2 linked regions of the Saccharomyces cerevisiae S288C genome follow. The gene in region 1 interacts genetically with each later gene. Each region holds a gene or a part of one and is shown on either strand. Other genes may lie near its edges.

Region 1 (7,511 bases):
CTTTAGAATGGAGAAGATTGTTCAAGAAAATTTCAACTATCTGTAGGGATATTATCCTAATTCCCAACTGAAAAAAATGGAGACAAAAGAAGGGTTAAGATGCACTGATCAAAAAAAAAAAAAAATTCTTTCTACTTATTATATATCTCTCTCGATTTCTAGTGTGTCATCGTAACTATATATTGTTTCGAGAGATTTTATTATTGTAATTAATTTATTGCCATTTTGATCTATTCTACATACTAACAATCAATTCATATCATTATCCCTGTTTGAGTAATATTCGAGCCTCATCATAAAATCTAATAATTCAATTCTCAAGTTTCTTCTTTCTTCCACAGATATTCCGTTCAAGTCGCCCGGTGTGAACCCTCTCAATCTGGCCACTAACCTTCTCGACTTTTTTGAAAAAAAGTGCACTTTTAATGAAGGTGTGGCTTCCCTAGATGTAGCATCTTCGTTACCATCTCCCCCCAACAAAGGTTCGCCATCTGCTTCTGTGTGGGCTTGGCCTAATTGAATTTCATGGTGTTTTTCTTTTCCACCAATTGTTTTTGGTACGGTGTCTAAGCCATTCTGCGCGTTGATATTTGTATTTTCTGTCATTCGAGGAGGTGAATCTGGTGGCATTAACTCATTCCTTTGCAATCTCTTTTTCAATTTCTCTTTTATTTGGCTCTTTGACCCTTGCATTTTCAAAGAATTGAAAATGGGTATACGAATTTCTGGTAACACTGAAATATCAGCAACTTCGGGTTGTTCTTCTAGACCTGTCTCTTTAGATACCGCATGTTCCATTGATTTTAAAAAGCCCTCATCTCTGACATTTTCTTCAACAGGTACAAAATCGTCATTAATATTGGCATCCTTATCTCCTTTAAGCGGTCCCTTCAAATTTTTATTAAGTTCGCATGTTCCACTATCTTCTAAGCGTACATTGATACCTTCTTCGGTCATAACAACTTCCCTAGATTCTTCTTCAGTGCCTTGAATGGGTGTGCTGTCCATCCTGTCATTATTTTTGTTTCTACTGTTTATTGCACCCACTTGATGTTTCTCTTGCGCAACCGTTCCATGTTCATCTTCATCACTACGCAAGTCATCAACTTTTGATTTTTCTGTCTGCTTTGAACTATTGAGAAGTATAGTCCCACTCGGGATCTGAATGCCGTCTCCTGGCACCTCATTCCTTACTGGAGAGGCTTGTTCAACATTACAAGCATAATCGTTGTTTTCACCCTCATTATTAGGACGGGCTTTCTTCACGCTCTTGTACTGTGCAATATTGTCTTGCGTAAAACTTTTACTGTTGATTTTATTCATACTTTCCTGGTTCTCCTGTCTTTGAACATGTTCAACTTGCCCTTTTCCATCTTCCTTTGTTATGGTTTGCTGGTCAAGATCTAAAGTGACATTCAAGGAATTTTCATTACAGTTTGTTTCCACTTTTATGCTATTCCTTAAAGCTAACGAAGATTCTTCGTTGGCTATACTCTTGATGTTAGTACATATAACGTCACTGCTAGGCGACACCGCTTGTTCCTCAGAAACTAAAACGTCCACCATCGTTTCATGACCTTTCGATCTTTTATTTTCAGAGGTAGGCGTCTCTTTGGAAGGTCGTTTTAGAGGATTATCACTGTTAACAACGTTATGATCAGGATTCGTTTTGATAGATCTATTTGTTACCGCCTTCAGTTCGCTAGTGAGAACTTCTATCGGTTGGTATGCGTTCACTTCCGAGGATTGTGTATCAATACTTTCATGCAGCTCAGTAACATCCACCTCATCGCTTTTAGTAGAACAAATGTTGCTATGATTGGCCACGTTTTTATCTAACTGCGTACTCTTCATCTGCTGATCTATTTCTCTAATGCTTTCATTATCCACTTCCTCTAGTGTTTCATCATCAATTGATCTGCTTCGGTTAGCATGTGATTCTTGCTGTGAAGAATTCATTATTGCAGTATTTTTAAGCGATATTGAATCTGAATCTTTCGCACTAATCTGGGAAGATATTTGAATTGAGGAGGGAGGCTCTTTCATTCCCTGCGTAGCCGGAACCTGGATATCTTGAGAATCCACTTTTCTCTGTAAGTTTGAAAGTTTATTTTCACTCCCTTCGCATGGAATATACATCGACTTAGTGTCAGGTATAGCTTCAATTTCCTTACTTGAGTCCCCTTGATGAACCACGCCCGATTCCTGTATCCACTTTCCTATTGTCTTTAATGTTGCATTATAGGTTCTCTTATCTTTAAACTTACGATTATGTGATTTGATGAGGTCAATCAACAGATTAACCATATCAATAGTTTGATAGTTAGGGTTTGGCGGTAATATACTAATTAACATGGAAAAAAATTTTTTGGCGGCACTTCTAGAAAGCGGTTTAGTGAGATATAATAAGACTAATTCACGGAGCATATTTGTACTCTTTTTGTGTTTTTGCATATTAGAGCTAACTGGATTTAAGAAGAAAACTAAAAGTGGCTCCTTTAATTTTTCCAAAATTTGGATCTCTTTTTGTATAATAATCTTTTCAAGCAACTCCAATATATAATCATCATCTCCATTTTCAATTTTTTCAATAACTGCTGCCAGTAACTTCCCATTAGGCTTCTCCTTATACGTCAGTAATTTTAACAGTAGCTCTGGACTTATTTTGAAAAGAACTTCGCTGGTCATATTTCCGCAAAATTCATCCAAATGATCCGCCATATTATTCTTTATGCAAAAATTCAATAGGCCACTGAATAATGGTTCAATGGGATTTGCCATCGCCAGATGAAGGAGTTCTCTGATTATTTCTGATTTTTCTAACTCGCTATCAGACGCATTTTGTAAAACGTTCTCGATTTCTGAAAAATTTTGATTTAGCTGTTCAAGTTGTTGACCCTTCAACAGCCAACGAACTAATGTAAGCTGTTCGGAGCACTTGAATAGTTTTATGTTTGCTGCAAAATATGAAGCTCTGCTACGTGGTAACAGCTTCAATAGGAGATCTGAATTTAGATCAGGGATGGAATTTAGTAAATTTGGATTGGAATGAATACAGTACTCCAAAATATCCATAAATTTGTTACGCCTTAAAAATGGGAGCAGACCGGAAAACAGTTCAGGATTCCCTGGTAAAGAAGTTTTTAACAGCGTGATCAGATCCACGTTTAATTTGTTTTCATTTTTTGAAACATAGCTTTGAATGAAATAAATAAAATTATTGTTCGACCACATAGACACATGAAGTAGTGTAAACAAATTAACTGGAAAGCTGAGCTTCAAACATAGGTCCAAGAAATTTTCAATGGAATTTTCATTCGGAACTTTGTTCACAATATTCGCCAAACTCTGAAATTCTCTGAAAGATATATTTGGTGGTAATAACGTTGATCCAACCCAATTTTGGGCATATACTTCTGTTTTCTTATCATCCAATTCTAGAAACTTTTCTATTATCAGAAATTCAGATGTTTCGTTTCGAGCTTTCCTGATAACATCTTTTAAAAGATCAAGGGTCATGTTTCCTTGCGAAATACCAACTTTGGAAATTTGGATATTGAAATTTACTAATGATGAATCATTCTTTCTTAAAAACAGGTCCAAAAATGTATAAACAAACGATGAAGTAACAGCACCAAAAAAGTCACGAAAAATGGGTGTATCTTTGTTGTTTTGCGTGACTTTTAATATAAGACTGCTAAAGGATTCTAAATGAGTTTGGTCCTTTCTATCCTCTGGAAGATGCTTCAAAGATGTAAGGATCAGATCATGAGCCAAATTAACGTTAGAAATGGCTACTTCAACAGCCTGGAACACAACTTTCATGATTTTATCGTATTCACGCTTGATGATCTGCGGGGGCAGGCTTGAAATGTCTTTTAACTTTACACCTTCTGAGGCTATAACACTCATTGGGTGAATATGCTTTTTATATTTTCTTTCCAATGCAACATCTGCATTCTTTCCCCCAATTAACAAATGCAAAACTGTGAAGAGTACATTTTGCAAGTGAATCGAATCATATTTGAAAACATAATCTTCATAAATCGGGGTTATTAGGTGGTCCCAAAATAGTTCAAACATATCTGTTGACAAATTCTTATTACTTGTAAATGCAGTGTAAACAACACCTAAAAGGTGGTAGATGATCCCTTCTCTAGCGCTTGGATCATTCACATAAGGAAGCGTCATTTGAAAAGGGGTTCGTAAAAGTGACAGTAAACTTTTGTTTCCTTCCTGATTTTTCTGTGATATTTTCGTGCATATGCAGTAGGTAATAATTCTCCAAACTTTGATGGACATTAAGCGAGTCTTGGGGTGATTATTGATAAAGCACAGGTTATTTAAATCAAACCAAACTTTGTTAGATTCTGATGTCAAATCATAAACTCTCTTTCCGCTATCGTATAGTAATCCGGTCATTGAAAGCCACAAATCCATTGCTATTTTATTGTCATTTTTGACCACAATATAGTTTTTTATCTGCTGTGTAAGAAGATGACCAATTGTCACTTTATCTAAATTAGCGCTGTCATATGAATTTAACGGTAGTTTAGATAAAAATTTTTCCGGGATTGTTTCGCATACTGGAGATAGCATGATACACTGGTAAATCCTTTCATGTTCATCAACAAAATCTAAGCATTTTTTTAGTAGTTCCAGTAAAACAACTATTGAAGTTATGAGAATTTTCATGGAGTAAATTTCATCTCCGATAATAATCCTAGGTAGTACCTCACCTGGTAACCAAGAAGTTACCGTCTCAATCATTAATTTTGGATACTTGCTCAAAAATCCCCTTATAAGTAGCAATTTTTCATATATTAGGTTGTGACTATTGATTTCCATTATTTCAGTGAAAGTGCTAATGATAGGTTTAATTTCTTCGTTGCTCAAGAAAAAAGTACCAAATTTTTCGTCTCTCAAGAAAGAGACTTGTGCTGTTATGATTATCTTGTTTGAATTTTCATTTCTTAGCGCACCGGTGGTCCACCTGTAAATAACTTTTAACTTATTAACCAAATCTGGCCTTTTCGTTAGCCACTTAACGATTTTGAAATTAGACATAATAGCACTGAAGAATCGAACTATTTGAACATATAGTCTGATTACAAATGGATTTTTTTTTTCACTACTACTTAATAATGTGTCCTGTGCTATTTGTAGATGCGGTATGCATATTTCAATGATACTTTCTATATTCACAATTAGAATATTGAATTTCTGATCAACCTCGTTAACATTTTTAGTGGTTAGAATGGGTATAATATTATTAAAGGTTGCGTATACCTCAAACCTCCTCGCGACGTAATCTTCAGATTCTTGTCGCAAGATGCCCAATCCGCCCTCAATAATTTCTTTAAACTCCGAAACACTTTCATTATCAACTAAACCATGGATCTCACCACTCACCCAATACTCTAAGGCGCGAGGATTTACCCTTGTTTCCTTATAAGGTGATGTGAAAATATTACCGTTGTGTAATTTGTGTTGGGTATATTGGAGTTTATTGTAACTCAAGTCGCTTACAGTCCTCACTGAAGGCAACCTATTCCTCAAAATTGATTTTCCTGGTTTGCTTGATGGAGAGGGTTTAGGTGAGGAACCTGGTATGCGGTAAATCGGTGATGATTCTATCCTATCAGAAAAAGCTACACTTTTTGTAACCGGTGATACATTATCACTATTAGAGGCAGACAACTCTGGAAGACTTTGCATTAGCCTGCTTCCTGTATCTTCTGGATATAAATTCTTGTTAATAGCTGATAAATCAAATTGTTTATTCTCGCAATCACTTGAAGACGCTAGCTTTCGCCTCTTTGGCGTTGGCGATAGATCGCTTTGTATATGCATATGAGCTTGTGGAGATGGAGGTGGCAAGTTAGTTTTCATCCACGGAGAGCTTCCATTGGAATAATTATCGTGTTGAGACCTACGGAGGATATGCTGATCAATTCGATCTATCGTATGTTTCTTTTTATCTGAAAAATCTTTCGACATTGCAAATTGACCACAAAAACGATTTTGCAATGGCAATCCTGTAATAACGTTGACGAATATATATATATATATTCACTTTTATCTCCTTAGGTACTGATGCCGACGAATTGCCTCAAATCGCTCTAAGACTGCGTTATTACTTTCGATCTTCTTGCTAACGATGAGTCGCCAATAAATAAAAAATCGACGCGTCGGTCAATTATAGTAACTTCTATTATTGTAGTAAATATGACATAAGAGGAAAAACACAAAGAACTGAAAATCAAAATGGCACTAATCACCTGCCTTCTGTTGACTTCTTGTTTCTTATCAAAAGTAGAGTATATTCACGATGTAAATCTAAGATAGCTGTCCTTACTATATAAATATTTGCTGCGGCCCTTTTTTAACGATTTGTAAAGGATTACAGCAGTTCGTTATACTTGGCTGATAGCGTTAATTTTGCATACTTTTCTTATAATTGGTAATTTTCCTACGTATTATACAGTTGTACGTATACTTATATAACAAAGTTCATGTGTACTTCATATTAACCTCAGCGATACCCCTACAGATGATGTGCCAATCCATAGTTTTGTCTTTTTCGCGATTATAATGCTTTTTCCACCATTTGAAGAGCTCATATACGAAGAACAAGTTTGGTTGAATGATAACATTAAGCCTCCGTACCCTCACAAACAAATACGCACTTGCCAGGTCACACTGGAGATATCTCATACATTCAGCTATACAAACTGTTGCAGATCTGGAGACTCCGACCATACAATGCACCAGAACTTTCCCTCCTGTTGCTTCGGAATTGCTAATAAAATCCAAAACTTTGTCTATTTGGTGGAAAAGCGGATCTTTGCCGTTGTCATCTAGATTTTCGATCTGGCAAATTTGAAATCCAGAATTTTCACTTATTACTACGTTGCTGCCATTTTCTTGCTTATCGCTGACCACAGTATCAGCTCTATTTCTGCTTTTATTACATGTAGTATTACCTGCAACTTCATTGGTATTCGTCATAGTTATTGCACGATGTGGCCTTACAGGATGAGCAATTTTATCCTTATTCAATGTCCATGAAACAACTTCACCGACAGAAACTATATGCGTAATTCCTAGAGACTTAAGTAAGGCAGGATTTTGTGCATGATCCAGGGATCCCAAATACAAGTGACGTAGAATCCGGGATGGCAGTGGGCCCTTCAAATTAACGAAATTAGACTCAAGAGGAATCTTCATAAAAAATATGCTACTAAAAAGCTCTGAAGAAATGTGTAATTGAAAGCTTTTATCCCTAAATTTCAATGCATTGGCATATAATTTTAGATTACTTCCATTCTGCGGACTAAACTCCCGCAGGACAGGTTGTAAATGGCCTAAAATTTGCAAGTCTGATGGAAAAAGGAAAAATGGTCTTGGATGGATCCTCAAAAGAGCGTCTTGTAACGGAATATTAAAGTGGAATATAATATAAGCTGTTAATAATAATGACGTTTCTGTATATCCGTCTTCGCAATACA
Region 2 (5,362 bases), on another chromosome or scaffold:
GGGTAGGATGTTTTGGACACTATTGTTCGAGCTTTCTTTAATTAGTTCTGAATTTTTAATTGCCAGCGATTTATACAAATTCATTTCTAGATCAGACCAACTATCCGTGTTTTCTATACCACCAGTTCTAGAGTTTATTTTGAAAAATGCATAGTAAATGTGAGACACTTGCTTCAAGTTTATGTCGTGAGGGAAATGAAACCTCGGTTTGTATGGGGACCAATTGGAATAATAGACCCCTGATATAAAGGCTTCGTCTCTTATATGGGTTCCATGATTTTGGACATTACTGGGAACTCGATGTCCGCCATTGTTAAAGTTGTCTCTAATATCATCCGACCTTTGGTTCTTAAAAATTTTATTATATAAACACATTTCAATAATAATCGTTATAAAGATAAGTAGTATTAGTAGGTGAGACACTAAGCTGCTTTTTGATCTGTGCTGAGCTGAGTGTCCTACCATATGATCACTCTTGTATCGTCTACTTATAGAGGTTGTTAGTACCAACCTGCAAATACAATTGTTGGACCATACTACCACAAAAGGTTCTTTTCGTTGGTGTATCCTCACAAATAATGATTATTCCACCAAAATCACCAAATTATTGTGTCAAACTAACTGGGATTACCCCACTATTGATTTTTCCAGTTTTTCCGCAATTTTCGCAGCATGTTTTACTTTTATAATGGCATTGTTGCATTACAGCGCCAGTTGTAGGTATCGATGATTTTATGTCAAAGTTTTCTTTCTAGCCAAACTCAGTTATGTCAACTGAACAAGATGCTGTTCTTGGATTGGCCAAAGATTTAGAAGGTATAAATTTGCTTACTGTGCCCAATCTCGAGAGAGGACACCAAAGTAAATTATGCAAAGAGAAAACTACTTCTGATTCATCTTCGTCAAGGAAGCCTTCACAACAGAGAGACAATTATAGAAAGAGACGTCCGAAACTTATATGTATCCCATATACGTCTTTTCTGCATACTGGTATGCACAATTTTTTGACGAAACCACCAAGAGATATATTTCATGAAAGTAAAGAAGTAGCTCTGTTTACCAATGGCCGGGCTTATACAATCCTACGCAAAGACCTTATACCAAATTTGAAAGAAAGTATTGCTGAATTGTATGAAAGCTCGCTTCTTGAGGCAAAAAAGCGGAAAGTCCCGTATTTAGGCCATGACTTATTTGCTAATATTGATGAGTTCGTTCCCATGACAATATCCGAATTAGATAGTGTATCACCGTGTTTTTCATACATTGAGAACTGGATACTAGATAATCCTGGTAAGGATTTTAAGATCGGCAAGAAATTTACTGTTGTAACCACAAGACATCATATCGTAGATTTGACTATGCATCTCTTTAACAGGCGAAATAGACAAACGTCACTAATTGTAACTTATATGGGGGCGGGCCTTCTTTCATTTTGCAGAAATGTAAAAAAAGATTCTCAAATGTCCAAAGAGGGCATTTATTCAAATGATCCAAATATGAAGAAAATTTGCTATTCAGGATTTGAATTTGAAAATTGGGTAACCGAAAATTCCAAAGTCGCTGATTTAACTGGCTCTAAATGTCCTATTTTTTCTCTTGTAGAGAGTAAACTTTCAGAAGAAATTGGTCTTTTAATTCGCTGCGAAATGGATGCATTCAATCCTGTTTCGGAGACAAACACAGAACTAAAGTGTTTTGCCCCATTATCAATGCACAATTCCAATCATAGGAGAAAACTTCTGAAAACGTGGGTACAGACGGGTTTATTACCGAACTCAGATATCATGATAGGTTTGAGGGACAGTCATAGCGGTCAATTACTAGACATTCAATGGTACTCAAGGGACTTATTATGTAAGAAATTCAATCACCCAGGTCTACCTACAAATAAAAAGGAACTTAACTATAATGCCCAAATTGCGGTAGAATGGTGTCATTATTGTATTGAAGCAATTTGTAAGCTGGTGGAGGCAAATATCTCTGACTATAGCAGTACAAAACCAGAATCATTTGAAATCGGTATAGATACTAACAACGCCATCGTCATCACTAAACTTAAGACTACTCCAAGAAACGTAGAATTATTTGGAATGTAGAGACGTGTATAATATATAATACTTTTCCGAGAAATATTTCATTTTCATTTTCGTAAAGTTGTTAACTACGCTAAATATTAGTACTTTTCTTAAATTTATATGGGGAGCCCTTTTTTTCTATGAAAAGCAATGCGTAAACCAAATAAGCAGAATTTTGTAATAGATGAGCAACAATACTGAGAAGGTGATAACTATAAATTTATGTGGGTAGTACGATACCAGAATACATTGGAAGATGGCTCTATTAGCTTTATATCATGTTGTCTTCAGGCCTTCAAAACTTATAGTATAGGTAGATCAAGTAAAAACCCACTGATAATTAAAAATGATAAAAGTATTTCCAGACAGCATATCACATTCAAATGGGAAATCAATAATAGTTCGGATCTGAAACACAGTAGCCTGTGTTTAGTTAACAAGGGTAAATTGACATCATTAAATAAAAAATTCATGAAAGTTGGCGAAACATTTACTATTAATGCCTCGGACGTTTTAAAGTCCACAATAATTGAACTGGGTACAACTCCTATTCGTATAGAGTTCGAATGGATAAATGAAGTCTGGAACATTCCTCCTCATTTGACACAATTCAGGACGATGCTTTCTGAATATGGTATCTCCACTGAGATTTCTATTAATGATATTCCCGCTAATCTGATGATTAGCGATTACCCAAAGAGCGAGGACAACAGCATACGGGAATTGTATGCCCTTGTTAGTACTATACCCATGAAAAAATCACGGTTTCTGATGGAATTGTGTAATACTCTTCTTCCCACATCTAAAACTAATTTAAAATTTGATGAAATGTGGAACGATATGATTAGTAATCCGGAGTACAATGTTTTTGATTTTGATCCAAATATTTTGCTTTCGAAGTTTATGAGGCTGAATAATATCAGAGTGTTAACTACTATCAAAAGTGAACCACGTCTATCATCTCTCCTGCGGACGTTCAATATAAATTTATTTGCATTTGACAACATTGATAGTTTATATAAATATGTTGACAGCTTGGAAGCATCAACAGAATACCTGATTTTGACAACTACAGATAAGAAAGAAAATGGGAAAATTCTATGTACTATCAAAACGATGTTAACATCAATAATAGATGGCACCTTAAGCGCAGTGATTAATATGAAGGGTGCATCTTCAAGAACTCTAGATAACGGTAAATTTGATCAAATTTCTGAAGGAATGTCTACTATTTTGAAAACATCTCGTGCACCTGAAGTTGAAGCTAGTCCAGTAGTCTCGAAGAAGCGAAAATTAAATAGACGTAGAGTACTACCACTCGATAGTCTTGATTTTTTTGCTGGAGGTTTGAGTACTAAGACTCTATCAGAAAATAGGTCTTTAACTGACGCTAAGAGACTTAATTGTGGCGCAGAATCAAAGACTGTCATTTCAAGTCCCAACATTGCAGAGGCAGATGAAAAGCACGCCCCATTTCTTCAAAACGCACTAAAGCCGACTGAAGATATTGGAAAGAAAAGTGGTCACAGTAGCCCTGGTGCTATAATTGTCAGTAGCCCCAACTTAGGTACTGTGAACACGAGTGAGGATTCGTTGGATAAGTCGCTACAGTCACATAAGTTACCACAGCCGTCATTGCCGGAGGTAGCAGGGATTGGCTCTCAAACCATATCTTCGAACTCCGCTGACTATGAAACAGCTGCTGTGAATTCGATGGATGATGCTGAAGTTACTAAGAATTTTAGGGTGAATCATCACCAGAATATAGAGCAACCCTCTAAAAACATCCGTAAACTTTCTAATTATTCACGAGAAATTTCATCTCCATTACAAGAAAATTGTAAGTCACCTGTAAAAGAGTTATCTATTAAAGAGAAATCTGGTACGCCGCACGCATTTGTTGAAGCTATTCAAGAAACTAAAAATAGAGAGGTCAAAAGAGTTAAGTCAACCATTGTTGAATTGAAGGATGAGGAGTTGAGCGAGGAAGCTATTAATCAGCTAAAAAATTTGGCTATTGTAGAACCTAGTAACAATTTACTGAGGAAATCATTTGATAGTGAGGGAAACAAAACAAGCAGAACAACTGAAAAATGGGAAAATAGCCTAATGGAGCCAGAATGGCATAAACGCAAGAATTTCAAGACTTTTGTCAAGGTACGTCCAAAATCAAAGGCGCACAAAGAAGAGGGTAAAAATAACACTCAAAGCTCAGATTTTATACGAAATGCAGCCTTTTTAATCACTAGAAATTATGTTCCGTTAAAAAAATACTCCAAAAAGGATACAACTACAAAATGGGGCACAGAAGAAAACGAAGATATGTTTGCTTTGACGGAGATGGAAAGATTTGGATCGAATACATTTATGTCCGATAATATAAACTCAAACACTATCCAGAAAAGATCTCAAGCTCTAAACAGATTCACGAATGAGGATAGTTCAAATGAAGGAGAAGAAGATTCGTTTTCTTTTTCTCGTTGTTCAGGTACTGCAGCCAGCGTTCAACCACTAAAAAACAAAATTTTTATTACTGATGAAGATGATCTGGGTGATATTGATGATAAAAGCGATAGACTAAATCACAGAGAAAATAATCGTAATCTTTTTGTGGTGAAGGAAATGAACTTACGGCCAAACTTGTCAGAAGAATGTTCCAAGCAAAGTAGACACAGTAGAAGCGCAACTAGTAGATCACGTGGCTCTTTTGGGGCTTCTAATAACGGTGATGGCGACGACGACGATGACGACGGTCCGAAGTTTACGTTCAAAAGAAGAAAAGGATAATGATAAATTTTCCGAGTATTTCCAATTTCATTAAATTATATTTTGCATTATCATTCGATATATGTGTATATATTATATGAAAATTAGTAAAATCAATGTTTGTTTCAGCTGTATCGGATCGGTTTAAAGAAGCACTACAGGTTGCTGGAGGCATTAACTGTAATGTAGCGCGCTCATTGGAAAATTGGGAAGGATCCCCACTTCATATCAACGACTCTCTTTGTACCATGCACTTTGGATAGGTTACTAATAGTCTTGAAATCATCCTCAGGCAGAGTGAAAATCTTAAAATTGGATACAATTCTTTCAGGATTAACCGATTTGGCCAGAACAACGTAGCCTCTTTGAATACTCCAACTGATAATAAGCTGTGCTGGCTCAACGCCGTGCTTTTTAGCCATATCAATAATTGCTTGCTCTTTTAGTAAAGGAGCATTAGCACTCCCAAATGGTGAGTAGGCTTCAACAACAATACCCTTTTCCTTACAAAAGGCAATCAA

The links. A genetic interaction does not mean that the proteins touch.
Region 2: mutations in RIF1 (region 1) and XRS2 together harm fitness more than expected from each alone (negative genetic interaction), as found in Saccharomyces cerevisiae (3 studies listed by BioGRID).

The regions. Positions count from the first base shown.
Region 1 is NC_001134.8:751,107-758,617, forward strand, and holds RIF1 (DNA-binding protein RIF1), read right to left. Parts: upstream 6,001-7,511; coding exon 250-6,000; downstream 1-249. Other genes in the region: serine/threonine protein kinase CHK1, read left to right, coding at 1-71; tyrosine/serine/threonine protein phosphatase PPS1, read right to left, coding at 6,514-7,511. UniProt on the Saccharomyces cerevisiae protein: Negatively regulates telomere length by preventing telomere elongation or promoting degradation of the telomere ends. Recruited to telomeres by interaction with the C-terminus of RAP1, which binds directly to telomeric repeat DNA.
Region 2 is NC_001136.10:1,214,516-1,219,877, reverse strand, and holds XRS2 (Xrs2p), read left to right. Parts: upstream 1-2,297; coding exon 2,298-4,862; downstream 4,863-5,362. Other genes in the region: CTS2 (putative chitinase), read right to left, coding at 1-465; DXO1 (Dxo1p), read left to right, coding at 768-2,096; trifunctional aldehyde reductase/carbonyl reductase (NADPH)/glucose 1-dehydrogenase (NADP(+)) YPR1, read right to left, coding at 5,036-5,362. UniProt on the Saccharomyces cerevisiae protein: Component of the MRN complex, which plays a central role in double-strand break (DSB) repair, DNA recombination, maintenance of telomere integrity and meiosis.